3 linked regions of the Caenorhabditis elegans genome follow. The protein of the gene in region 2 interacts with the protein of the main gene of each other region in a pairwise test. Each region holds a gene or a part of one and is shown on either strand. Other genes may lie near its edges. The genes, in order: hsp-17, ubl-5 and npp-9.

Region 1 (3,521 bases), on a different chromosome or scaffold from region 2:
TTTGGTGAGTTATCTAAAAAAAAACGTCATTGATAGAGAAAGCTCATCAATTATAAATTAATCTGCTAACAGGAAAGAATGAATCTTATCATGTTTAATGTGTTGCATCAGTATTCTAAACTAATTTTAAAAGATTTCCTATCGATTTTAAGAAATTTCCAGACGCTTCACTTTCCAATTGCGGAAAAGATGTATCCCAAGTTCAATGGTGTCAATCTCATTGTCAAGATAAAACACTCGAAAACGTCATTGTATCATCTGCAGTTATCAATGGAAGTCTTCCACTTGCTCTAGCACAACAGGTATAATTTCGTCACTATTTGAAAAGATTTCATGATTAAATTCAAGGTTTTCTCAACGATTGGATCACCAAACGATACTTCAATCGCTTCAATGCAAGTTGATTTAAACTCACAAGGAGTTCGAATCGATTATGATTATTATGATGATTTCAACTTCTGCTCAGTTTATGTGAAAGTGAAGAGGCCATCCATGTTCCCATATGCTCTATTCATTACGGTTCAAAAGATTGTTGGAGTCTAAACAAAATGTTTATATTGTCACTTCAATAATGGAATTGAATAAATATTTTTGAAATAGTTAAAATACAGACACTTAGGTAACTGAAATCAGTTTCTCTTTGGCACAATTGTGATTGGAATGGATTTTGGCTGCTGTTCCTGATTCTTCTCATATTTGACAGTGAGCACTCCATTGTTGCTCAATTCGGACTTGATTTGTTCTGGACGGACCCCTGTTGGAAGGTTATACTTCCGGACAAAGTGACGCTCTACCTGAAAGTATGCACAACGAGGTTTTAGACTTTAGTACAACTTCGTTATAAGCTCGGAAATGAGTTGCTTGGCTTCCTTGTATTGCGTAACAGGCGGAAGGATAATCTAGAACTCTTGGCCTTTATTTTGGATAACTTTTTGCCCTTTTCCGAGTAAGGTTTCAGGATCTTGAGAGCTAATCTAAGGATGCATGAAAACATTTTCAAGTTGCACTAGCTTCATACAAAACTTGAGTTTTTCAAGAAGGAGGGAAACCCTCACCTGTCCATATTTATCAGTCTTCTCGTTATGCTTTCCTTCGATGATTAGCTGATTATCAACAATGTTCACTTTCAACTCTTCTGGTTCAAACTGTGAAACATCTACAGATACATTGTATTCTTGATCGTTGTTCACAACATCAATAGCATCTCCTACTCGGTGTCCAGTGAGCATTGTTTGATCGGCCCAGTATGGTCGGATCATGTGGCGATCAAAGTCGACGTCATCGAAGAATCTGCTAGAAAACTTGTTTGTAGGAGTTTTGTAAAATTTTTAAAGTTAATTTTCTAATTTTCTAATTGCAGAAAAATATGTCAAAATCTCCAGTCTTTATGATTTTTCAGAGCATTATTTGCTAAACTGGAGTACAAAGTCCTCTCGCTAGCTTATTTTTAGAAATCGCGCCAAATTAAATTCTTGTGTATTTTAAGAACTAGCGGCGCAGAGTACAATTTGAGTGACGTCACTTATTAAAGAAGAAAATTTACAGAAAGTTATGTTACTTCAACTATAGAAGTTTCCGAAAACACGAGAATTTAGAAACTTACCGGCCATGGTTAAAGAATGGGGAGAATGGTGGAAAACGACGATCCATTTTATAATAGTTTCTGAAAATCTAATTATTTCAAAGAAACAAAACGAAAGTAAGACAGAAATAGGGGAAGAAGAAGACAAAACTGAGTTGACACTCCCTGCTTTTCTACTACTGCTCTATTATCCTCAATGCAAACAAGAATCGCCCACGGTTTTTTTTACCTCCTTCGAGAAACATCTACTCCGACGAATCATCAAAAAGAAAAGGTTTTAGATTTCGAAATTATTCGAACAAACTGACCAAAATACAGTTCTTTCTAACATGTAATATTTGTTTTAAACTTTAAAACTAATTGTAAGGAAGATTAACAAAAATAAAAAGCAAAACAGCGAGTCAATGATGAAAGTTGGGTGTGGTTGTTTGGATACTTCCCTTTTATCGAAGTTTTTCAGGAATGTATCGAATCGTCTCGAAACGTTTTTTTTGCTGGCACACTTGCTGATAAACTAATGCAGTGACACAGTTATTAATGGCATTGATGATTTCATTCAAGTTTAAACTTTATGCCAGAACTATCTCTAAGTATCATTATATTCTATACTATTTTTTTTTGAATTAGCAATGTAAATATACTCAAACAGAGGACGGAAAGAGAACGTTTGTCATTCAAAACGAGACGAACGGTTGAAGGATTGGATGACTGTTCCCAACGTTTGCAGAAAAAAAAACATTCAAAAATAAAAAAAGAGCGCAGCAGGACAGATGCGTATCTGCAAATTTTTAGATTCGATTTTCATATGATGTGGTGGTTTTCCGGGTCATTGAAATTCGAGAAAGAAAAAAGTTAAAAAGAAACCGATGGGTTGATGATAAGGATATTTATAACATTTGGTTTTATGTGCTCAATGTGCTAAACAAAGTTTAAAAATACAAGTAAAATAGTAAAAAGGAAATAGGAAAATAATGAGGCGTAATGCTAAAGTTAAAAACTATCTTCATTCAGGTTTCCAGTAACGAAAACTCAACAAGAGTGACTCACTTCAACCAGCTGCCTCTCTTGTTTTTTTACCGTATTCAATAAAAAATTTGAAATGGAACTTGTTTAACGACAATAATATCAAAAATTGTAAAATTTGCGGTACTTTACAGACTGTTTCCACGAGATGTCAATGTGATTTGTATCTGTTTGATAAACTAGATTTGAAATCCCCAATGTTTCAGAAATGCGCATAGACTGATCCGATTAATTACGCAATTGCTACCGTAACCTACCTTGTGTCACGCTTTCTCATGACCAACAGATTAATCAAGTCCAAAAGAAGCTTTTTTCTCTTCCGTGCTTTTTCACGTATCAACTGTTTCGGGAGGCGGAAAAATATAAAAATAAGGTTTCACGGATTAGGCGGCAGGCGTAGTAAACTTAAGTTTCTATAAATCCCACCGCCCCTTGTGCAGATATAAAAAGATCTGCTGTCTGCCAGTTTAGCATAAGAAAATAATCATGAAGCCCTTCTATTCAATGTCTCTAGTTTTGTTTTTAGTGATTACGGTAGGTTTTGAAAGCGAATTCCACAAAATAAAAATGATTTTTTTTCAGTTGTTACCTAAACCTATGTTTCCCCAAGTTGCAACAGGTACCACTGGAAATGTGATTCGAGTGGGATTTATTCACTGTAGAGACTTTCAAAGTGCACCTATCACTGTTGGATATCGTACATCTGCAGCAGCAGCTTCAATTGCAGTTGATAGATTGAAAAGGGAGAATCTAATGAGTGGTTGGGAATTCAAGTAAGTAGATTATTTCTAATGCCATACTGTTTTGTAAAAAAAAATAGACAGGCCGGATTGAAGAGTTTTAATAGTTCATATCATCTTGTAAATTTTGAAAATAATTTCAGTTTTACTATTGAATTTGACGATTGCGTAGAATC
Region 2 (3,123 bases):
ACTGCTTATTGATACCATATGTTTGAATATTTCTATTTAGAGAAACTTTTTTTTTAACTTTTGAGATATTTTTTTATTAATTTTCAAAAGTTGTTTTATTTTTGTATTCTATAAATATTTCATTTTAAGCTTTCGGGATTCAAACTTTTCAATTTAAAAACGTACCCTTGAAGCACAGCACAGAGCTGCAGCAGCCATTGCCCTTGGTCTGAAATGTCTTTTAGAAGTAATATTTTTGAAAATTCAAAAAAAAAACATCTGCAAAAATTAACTATCCACTGATTTTTCTCTATCCACACTAAACTGTTTCGCGCAAACACATTGATAGGCGAAGAGAATTAGAGAGAAAAAGAGAAAAAATCGGACAAAATCTTTTGGGTCGAACAAATGGGCGGAGCCTACTCGGGTGGGAGCGAAGAAAGAGGGAGTGGTCAAACAAGACGGCAGAAATTAATGGGGTGGAAGAATGAATATAAGATGTTTTTAAAAGTGCATTTAAATCAAGAAAGTGTTGAAATTTATTCGAAGTCAAAAAAAATTAAATTGAAATTCATGAAAAGTTGAAAAGTAAATAATTGTTTAAAAAATGAAATGAATTCTGATGAATCATTGGTAGTAGAGCTCGAAATTGAATCCCTCGTGAATCTCGTAATCCATCAATGTGATATGATCCTTGTAAATGGTGTACCACTTTTTCAACACGATCTTTTCCCATCTGAAATTTAATTGATTTTTTTTTATTAAACAATAAAAAATGTATATTTCATCACCAAGAATGGCGGTCGAAATTTATGATCAAATTACAAAAAAATCAATTATTTAATAAAACACAGGGCTGGGAGGCAAGTTTTTTTTTGCAAAGTCGGAAATTTTTCGTTTTGCAATTGTTGTAAATTTTTAAATTTTTATTATAAATTCTGCAAAATTAAATGCACTATTTTAATGTCCTAGAACTATTTTGACATGCAAGTAAAATCTATGAAAATGTTATTAATGTTTTTTCTCATGTAAAATATCTTGGAAAACTTTGGGCAAATCGGCAAATTGCCGTTTTTCAAATTTTCAATTTGTTTCTAATATATAAAACATACGAAAATAACATATGCGAATAGCCGCATGAGATGGCAAAACACAGAAAAATTGTATTTTAAAACGCGATTTCCTAGCTCGAGATCATTTTAATAACGACTTTTTGTGCCATTTTTGATTTTTTTTAGTTTTTAAGTTCTTTTTTTCCTTTCAAACGTTTTAACTTCTAACTTCTAAAGTCTATAAAAAAGCTAAATTCTTTTTTTTTCAATATAATTGATTTTCAAGTTTAAGAATTCAGAAAAAAAGATTGTGGGATCATCAGTCAATTTCAAAAAGATTATCAAATTCAAAAAGGTAATTTTCAAATCTCACCGTGTTCCAGTTTGTGCAGCGATCAACTTCTTCAAATCTCCAATTGTATCTGATGGATTGCACTTGATTCGTACTTTTTTTCCGAGTCGATCGTTTACTGTGATTTCAATCATTTTTCCTGAAAGGTCAAACAATTATGTATAATTTAAAATATTCACAAATTTCTTAAGAAAATACATGTATTTTGCAAGAAAGCAATGAAAATTCGGTATAGAAAAACATTAATGCAATTGCGCAATAAATAAATATAACTATTTCGAATGTACGTAAAAACACACAACTCGACGCGCAAATGCAGACTTGCAATGTAATCAGTAAACTTAAAGGCGCATGCACCAATTATTTTTCAAGAACTCAATTCTCGCGGCGAGACTCAACCCTTTGAAACTTAAAATTAAAACTTACTTTTTTTATTTGAGCGTATTTAAAAACGAACTTTTTTAAACATAAACTGCTTAAATTTTGCTATTTTTTCCAAAAATTAATCTCGGAATTATAAAAAAGCGCAAGTATGGTAAAATCTGCAGTTTTTGAACATAGCGTTTCACACTTGCGAAAAACCTCTTCTGAATACGTTTATTGATTAATTCGTAGAGAAAGAATAATTTCCAGTTTATAATCAGCTCTATAAAACCTTTATTCGACGAAATACTTTGACGTATAAGCTTTTTCTTTGTAAATAGTATACAATACGTCGTCACAGAAAAAAAAGTGACGACTATAATTTTTTAATTGAAAATGGAGAATTCTACAGAATTGGTTAGAAATTGATGGGAGAGGGATATCACATCATAAAAGTAAGGGGCGGGACTTAGCGAAAGTTGGAATGATCAGAATTGTCAGAGATTAAAGAAAACGAAAAGTTTAGGCAGCGAACTGTCCGTGAAGTTTCTTCTGGAGAGTCAAGTTATGATGGAGCTCTGGCTTGATGTCGCAAACGAGTTGAAGGAGACGGACAATGACCTGAAATTAACGGATTTTATTGAGATATTATGCAACTTTCGAGAGTGTGAGCCAAAAATGTGTATGTGCCGTTTTACAATAACTATATTTTAATTTGGTGACAAATATAGAAATTCAATAAAATTATTTTAGAACATTTTATTTAAATTCGAGAAATTTTTTTTGAAAGTTCTCCAGTAAATATTTTGCAAAGTGCAAAAGATTTCCCAAAGTTGTGTGGAAATTTGTTCAAACTCACAGCTTGCTTGTTTCCAGCCACAGATTGCTTCATTCCACTGATTTGATCCTCAGTATCACGACGAATCTTGCTCTCAATATCTTCTTTGGTTCCCAAGTATTGTTGTTCAAATGCCTTGAACTCTGCCTCGCGTTGCTGAATAATTAGTTTTTTAAAATTTAAATTAAAATCAATATTTATTACCTGCTTGTACTTCTCCACCTCAGCTTGAGCCTCTTGCTTGGCCTGCTTCGTTCTCTGCAACTTTCTCTTACGAGCTTCGTTGATCTTCTCAGCGGCACGTTTCTCAGCGGCCAAAAGTTGCTGAATTCCCTGGGTTTGTGAGGCCATTTTAAGGTTTTCGGTACTGAAAATGATTTAATTATTTTCACAGGATTTCGTGATTATTCTTAAGATGTACATATAATAATTGGAAAAGAACCGAGTCAGCACAAGACAAGAAAAATCAATAAATTTTGAGAATTTATGCATAAAATTATAAGAAAAATGAATAAATACGAATAGAACTGAAACTAAAA
Region 3 (5,732 bases), on a different chromosome or scaffold from region 2:
TTGCAGTATTTCTACGGAACCCGTGCCAACAATCTCTACCCATTCACATTTGACGTCAGCTTCGATGACGTCACTCTTTGTAAAATCGGAGCCGAGCAACTGCCCGATTCATGTCTACCATTCGGAATGGAAGTTGAAAATCATGAGACAAAGCTGGTTATCATGGAGCCCAGTGCCGACATTAAACATCATTTGTTCGCGTTCTCGCGGAGCACGAAAGCCGACGAAAATGTGCTGAAATCGCCGGTTTTTGGATTTTGTCTTGTCACGGAGGTTGGTATTTCGTCGAGTTTTTGGGTCTCGAACGGAAATTTCAATTTTATCCAAATTTCAGGTTGATTTGGAGAAGCGAACAATGTCAATTCTCTGCCCACAGCGTACAATTCCATCGAAAGTTCTCGTCTTCTCAGATATCACCCATCTTGATGATCAAATAAAACGATAATTTATTTCTTTTTTTTCCTAATCCCTATTTATTTGTTTCCCGCCCTCAAAATAAATCTCATTCTTCAATGCATTCACAATTTATTGGATTGTCACCAGTGGGGAAAAATCGATGCCGGGACAATGTGAACAATATAGTTAAGTTTTAAAGACAAAAATTATGAATGATAGTGTGTGGGGGGTACTTATGAGAACAATGGGATTTTGAGAGAGATGGGGGGGAAATAAGGAAATTATTTTTTTAAAAACCTTACCAGACAAATATAAACTACACTTAAAGGACTATAGATGACAGCAGATGGGGATGAATAAAACTAGGTTCATAAATAAAATTGGTGGTGGGGAATACTAACACAGAGTGCTGGGTGGGGAGGAATAACAATAATAAAATAATTTAAATAATCAGCAGAGGATTACATCTTCGATTGAGCATCCTGAACAGCCGTCTTGAATGCTCCGGCGGTCGCCTCGTCCTTGAATTTGGCGGTGAAGATGGCTGGATCAGCGTTGGAGGCGTCTTCTGAGAAGTCCTGAAAAATAAGGAATTTATAGTACATTTTTATATAAAAAGAAATTAAAAATTGCTACCTGGCACATAAATGTGAGCACATTTGGCAAGTTTGGCTTCGGACTGAGCTTCATCGACTTTTCGATACGGAAATTGGCACAGAGCTTATGGACTTGCTCACGACGCATCACGATTCGATATTTGTTGTCATTGCTTTTCAGGAGCTGAAATAATAAATTATTTTTCTCAAATTTAGCCTCTATGAGTCAAAAATCAGTTGTTTTCTTAATAGTTTTCATTAAAATTTAGTGAAAAAACATAGAAAATACTTGCAAAACAGTTGAAAAGTGCGCAAAACTAGCACTTTTCTTAACTGTTTCAACTGAAATAAGTTATTTTCTACGTTTTATCACTAAATTTTAATGAAAACTATCAAAAGAACATGCCAAGCTGGCTCATTTTGATATAAAATCCTAAATCTGACCTTAATATCTCCGAGTCCACGTTCCTTATTCTCCTTGAGATCCGAATAGTACTTATAAAGCTTGCATCTGGCGGAGAACATGACCTCCTCGTCCTCTTCACCAGTTTTCACCTCAACCAAATCCGGAAGAGGAATAACTGGCTTAAACTCGACTTCTGGCTCATACTCCCCATCTCCATCCTCATTCGTCTCATCACCATCGTGTGAAGTTGCAGAAGTCGTGTTCAACGTGGTGTTCTTGCTCCCGAAAATGCTTGCCTTCTTCTGAGCAGCAAGTTCTTCTTGGGCCTTCTTGACATTTGCTGCGTCGAAAATGGAGCCAGATTTGGCAGAGTTGGCTGAAAGGGCAGCGAATGTTGCACCTCCAGACGTGAATCCACTACCGAACACGGATTTTGGCGTCTCGGACTGTTTATTTTCTTCTTGTTTAGCTGGTGCAGTCGTTGATGGAGTCTGTTGCTTTCCGAATGAGAAAGTTGGCTTTGGGAAGGCACTTTCAGAATTCTTGGCGAACATAAACGACGGAGTAGTAGTTGAAGAAGCTGTAGATTCAGTCTTGGAGAGTCCACCTCCGAACAATGAATTTCCTGGAGTCGTAGAGGTTGCCGGAGAAGCAGTTGAAGCTGCAGGATTGTTGAAATTGAACGATGGGGTAGTTGCATTGACAGCGGCAGCTGGCTTGTTGAATGAGAAAGTTGGAGTATTAGCAGCACCTCCACCGAAAACGCTTGTTCCCTTTGGTGTTCCACCACCGAAAATGCTACTGCTAGTGCTTGGAGATCCGCTGAGTGATCCACCGAACTGAGATGTTTGAGCAAGAGGTTCCTTGGCTGGAGCAGATGCTCCGAATCCGAATGTCACTTTTGGAGTTCCTGGGGCAGGCTGGAGGATCGAAGGTCTGCAAATTTAAATTTTTAATTTTAAGATAACTCAAATAGAATATTTACTTAGAGAATATATTTTTCTCTTTGACAGATCCGTCTTTCGATGTCCCACAACAGGCACATTCAATCTCGTCAGCTTTGCAAGTAACATAGCATCCAGGGCATTCCCAAGATCCTGGTTTTGGCTTGAACTGATCTCCAAATCCAGTCTCTTCCGGTTTGTTGTTTGATGGAATCACAACTTCTTGCTTGACTTCCTTCTTCACCTCAGCCGCCGGCTTGATTTCCTTGTCGATGGTCTTTCCAGCGTTGCTCGATGATTTTGCCTCAGCGACAGCCTTCTCGAACAAAGTCTTAAACTCTCCAGCGATATCGACGTTAGCGAAACGAGCGGAAAGCTTCACGTGAGCTGGCTGATCTTCGGAAAAGTCCTCGCAGAACCATGTGTAGGCCTTCTCGTTGGATTTCATTTGTTGAATGGTCATCGAGCCGAGAATTGGGAAATTGGCACAGACTTTGAGAACCTGTAATTTATTTTAATGCTAAATTAAGGTATTTAAATTTAAATTAAGATCTTTCTGTTGAGGAAAACGCCGAAAAATGTGAAAAAAGCTGTAATTGGAATAACCTGAATATTCCAACACAATTCTTCGGTTCCATTCTCAATATTTGAAGGGAGTGTCTCCTCCGAAATGGTCACCTGGTCTCGTCGCATAACAACTCTCCACGACTTCTTGTCCTTGTTGTAGAGAACCTTCAGCTCGCCGGTTCCTCGCTCCTTCCATTCCTTCGTCTCGTTGGCATAAATGTAGAGTTTTGAACGATTGCAGAACATGGTTTGCTCTCCTTCTTCTCCAGTTTTCACCTCGACAAGATCTGGCAGTGGAATGACTGGCTTGAACTCGCCCTCTGGCTCGTAATCCTCATCATGTTCTTCGTCTTCATCATCTTTAGCTGCTGGAACCACGACTGGGGAAGCAGTTTCAGGCTTTTTACCGAAGATTGAAGTAGCTGGATTGGTCCCGCCGAATGAGAATCCGGTGGTGGCTGGCTTTGGAACAACTGCAGGCGTTGGAGTAGAGAATGTTGGCTTAGCAGGTGGAATTACAACTTCTGGTGGAGATGTCTGAAAAATATTGAATTTTTAATTGCTGGAACTAAAACCCGAAAATTTGTTACCTTTGGTGCAATAACTCCAGAAGCTGGAACTGTCGATTTTGCTTGTGCTGTAGTGGCGACCAGTGGCTGTGTAACGGGAATAGCTGGCTTCGCAGCATTGAGCAAATTAGCCATAACTTGGCTTTGGGCCTGTGCTTGGGCTTGAGCTTGAGCGTGAGCATGAGCTTGAGCTTGTGCTGCCTGCACATGAGCCATCTCCATTTGTCGCTGAAGAATCAACATTTGCTGTTGTTGCTGAAGCTGCTGTGGAGGAATCATTGAGCCGAGAGGATTCGCATCACGAGCAAGAAGAGTGTGTATAATTTGATGAAGTCTCTCGAGCTCTTTTCCGTGATTAGTGCTCAAATCGGACAACTGCTTCTGAAACCGATCCTCGGATCGACGAATATCATCGCGAAGCTGGGTGACGCCGGTCTGGTGCTCAATCTGTGAAAAATAAGTATTAAATTGAGTTTTTCATGAATCGCATACCTTCAACGAGTCCATGCTTTTGATAAGCGAGTCAAACTGCATTGTCATCAACTGCTGCACATCCACGACGCTGGCGACAATGCGCCCCATATTCTGAAATACCGTGAATCATGTTGAGCAACATTCGAAAAGATTCACTTACCGGCTTCTGATCGCTCATTGCGAAAGGAGAGCTGAAATATGAAAAATATCAGGTAAACAATTCAAGAGACTTCAAGCTAAAGCGAGATAAAAAGACGAATACTGCGGTCTCTTTAGTTGAAAATTAGCAGCAATACTTCAAAGAATTCGCGCCAGGGATTTGAATTTCGAAATTTCGCGCCAACGCTTTCCCTGCTTAAAATAGGGCTTTCCTACCTTTAAAACTAGTCTTTTCTGTATAAAATATGCTTTTAAACGCACAAAAAATGTTTTCCAGCTATTTTTCGTAAAAATACGGAAAAACTATGGCGAAACAGTCTAAAATAAATAGAAATTGGGCGCCAAGCTTCGCAAATTTCGAAAAAAGTTCAAATTCCTGCGCCGTGGCGAGACCCGTTGCGTAAATCGACACGCGCGCCTTTAACCATGAGTTGGCAATTATTCATGGAAAATACCGGTTTTTCAGGCGAAAAACAGGATTTTTGATATTTTCCGTCGTTTTTTATGGCTTTTTCGGTTTTTGAAATGTCAATTTTGCCTGGAATAGCATTTATTATTCACTTTTCTCAGCGAATTTATTGATTTTTCATCAGAAACTTTCAAAATTGTGTTTTTTAGTGATTACAACAACAAAATGGAAGTAGACACAAGCTCATCGTCATCTTCAGAGGACGAATGTGACCCAAGCTCTCCGAGCACGGCATATATCCACTCAGCGTGAGTTTTTCGCTAAAAAACACAAAAAACAAACTGTTTTTTAAATGTTTTTGTTTCAAAATTAACATTTTCTGAAGTTCTAACAGCAGTTTCTAATCCGATTAATTCCAGAAGCGTACGATTATCCGTCGGAACAGAAGAAGCGGCTCGAACCGTGGCAGATGTCATAAAAATCGATAAAGAGCCGAGAAGAAGTGGTGCTCGACGGGAAGTGTGCAGCGAAGGCGAATTTGTAGTCATGTAATAGTTTTTCTATTCGAATAACTAAATAAATAAGTTAATTTTCAGAAAAATCGAATCAAAAGATCCGAAATCATTGTCAAAATCCATTGCCAACGCTGTTGATATGATCGATTTGTCCGTGAAAACTATCAAACTTTGTGAAAATCTGGGAAAATCGAAGGAAAACGGATTGAAAAGAAAACTCTCAAACGGATCTCAGGCTTAATTTGATTAAAATTTGTTATTTTTTCTGTTTTTGTTTTTTGAAATGAATTTTTTTCAACTTTTCATGATTTTTTCTTCTTAAAAATATGGTTTTTAACCTTTAAAATACTTTTTTTTTCGATTTTATTGCAAATTCCCCACTAAAAAATCGATTTTTTCAGGTTTAAATGTTCAAAAACCTGAAAAACCGGCTGGATAATGAAGCCGGAAAGCTTAAACAATCAGCTCAGCAGTATGGAGAACAACTCGCCGCTCAAGTTGGACAATATCGGCAGGCGATGGTAAAAATCCACTGAAAACTGAGAAAAAATCGATAAAATTGCAGAATGAGCAGCCTGCTGGCAGTGATGCATCCGCGTCGATTTCTAAAAGATTCACCGGAGAATCAGGAGAAACTAAAGCTGAAAATCCAGCAAATACCTCTATTGTGAGAGTTTTAACATGAAAAATTCTCGAA

Evidence for each region.
Region 1: the proteins of ubl-5 (region 2) and hsp-17 interact in a two-hybrid assay, tested with the Caenorhabditis elegans proteins (one large-scale study listed by BioGRID).
Region 3: the proteins of ubl-5 (region 2) and npp-9 interact in a two-hybrid assay, tested with the Caenorhabditis elegans proteins (one large-scale study listed by BioGRID).

Annotation. Positions count from the first base shown.
Region 1 is NC_003283.11:8,384,265-8,387,785, forward strand, and holds hsp-17 (SHSP domain-containing protein), read right to left. Parts: upstream 1,664-3,521; 5' UTR 1,651-1,663; coding exon 1,604-1,650; intron 1,294-1,603; coding exon 1,056-1,293; intron 795-1,055; coding exon 630-794; 3' UTR 544-629; downstream 1-543. Other genes in the region: F52E1.14 (ZP domain-containing protein), read left to right, coding at 1-4, 163-302, 349-543; gcy-7 (Guanylate cyclase), read left to right, coding at 3,092-3,139, 3,188-3,378, 3,489-3,521.
Region 2 is NC_003279.8:5,607,320-5,610,442, forward strand, and holds ubl-5 (Ubiquitin-like protein 5), read right to left. Parts: upstream 1,523-3,123; 5' UTR 1,518-1,522; coding exon 1,405-1,517; intron 716-1,404; coding exon 607-715; 3' UTR 507-606; downstream 1-506. Other genes in the region: tns-1 (Tensin homolog), read right to left, coding at 166-198; vha-10 (putative V-type proton ATPase subunit G), read right to left, coding at 2,269-2,367, 2,606-2,740, 2,789-2,935.
Region 3 is NC_003281.10:3,400,134-3,405,865, forward strand, and holds npp-9 (Nuclear Pore complex Protein), read right to left. Parts: upstream 4,144-5,732; 5' UTR 4,131-4,143; coding exon 4,113-4,130; intron 4,064-4,112; coding exon 3,971-4,063; intron 3,926-3,970; coding exon 3,500-3,925; intron 3,447-3,499; coding exon 2,949-3,446; intron 2,845-2,948; coding exon 2,384-2,844; intron 2,335-2,383; coding exon 1,437-2,334; intron 1,177-1,436; coding exon 1,033-1,176; intron 975-1,032; coding exon 858-974; 3' UTR 511-857; downstream 1-510. Other genes in the region: Protein clpf-1, read left to right, coding at 7-273, 335-445; F59A2.5 (L antigen family member 3), read left to right, coding at 4,746-4,828, 4,940-5,068, 5,117-5,276; golg-4 (GRIP domain-containing protein), read left to right, coding at 5,443-5,556, 5,601-5,702.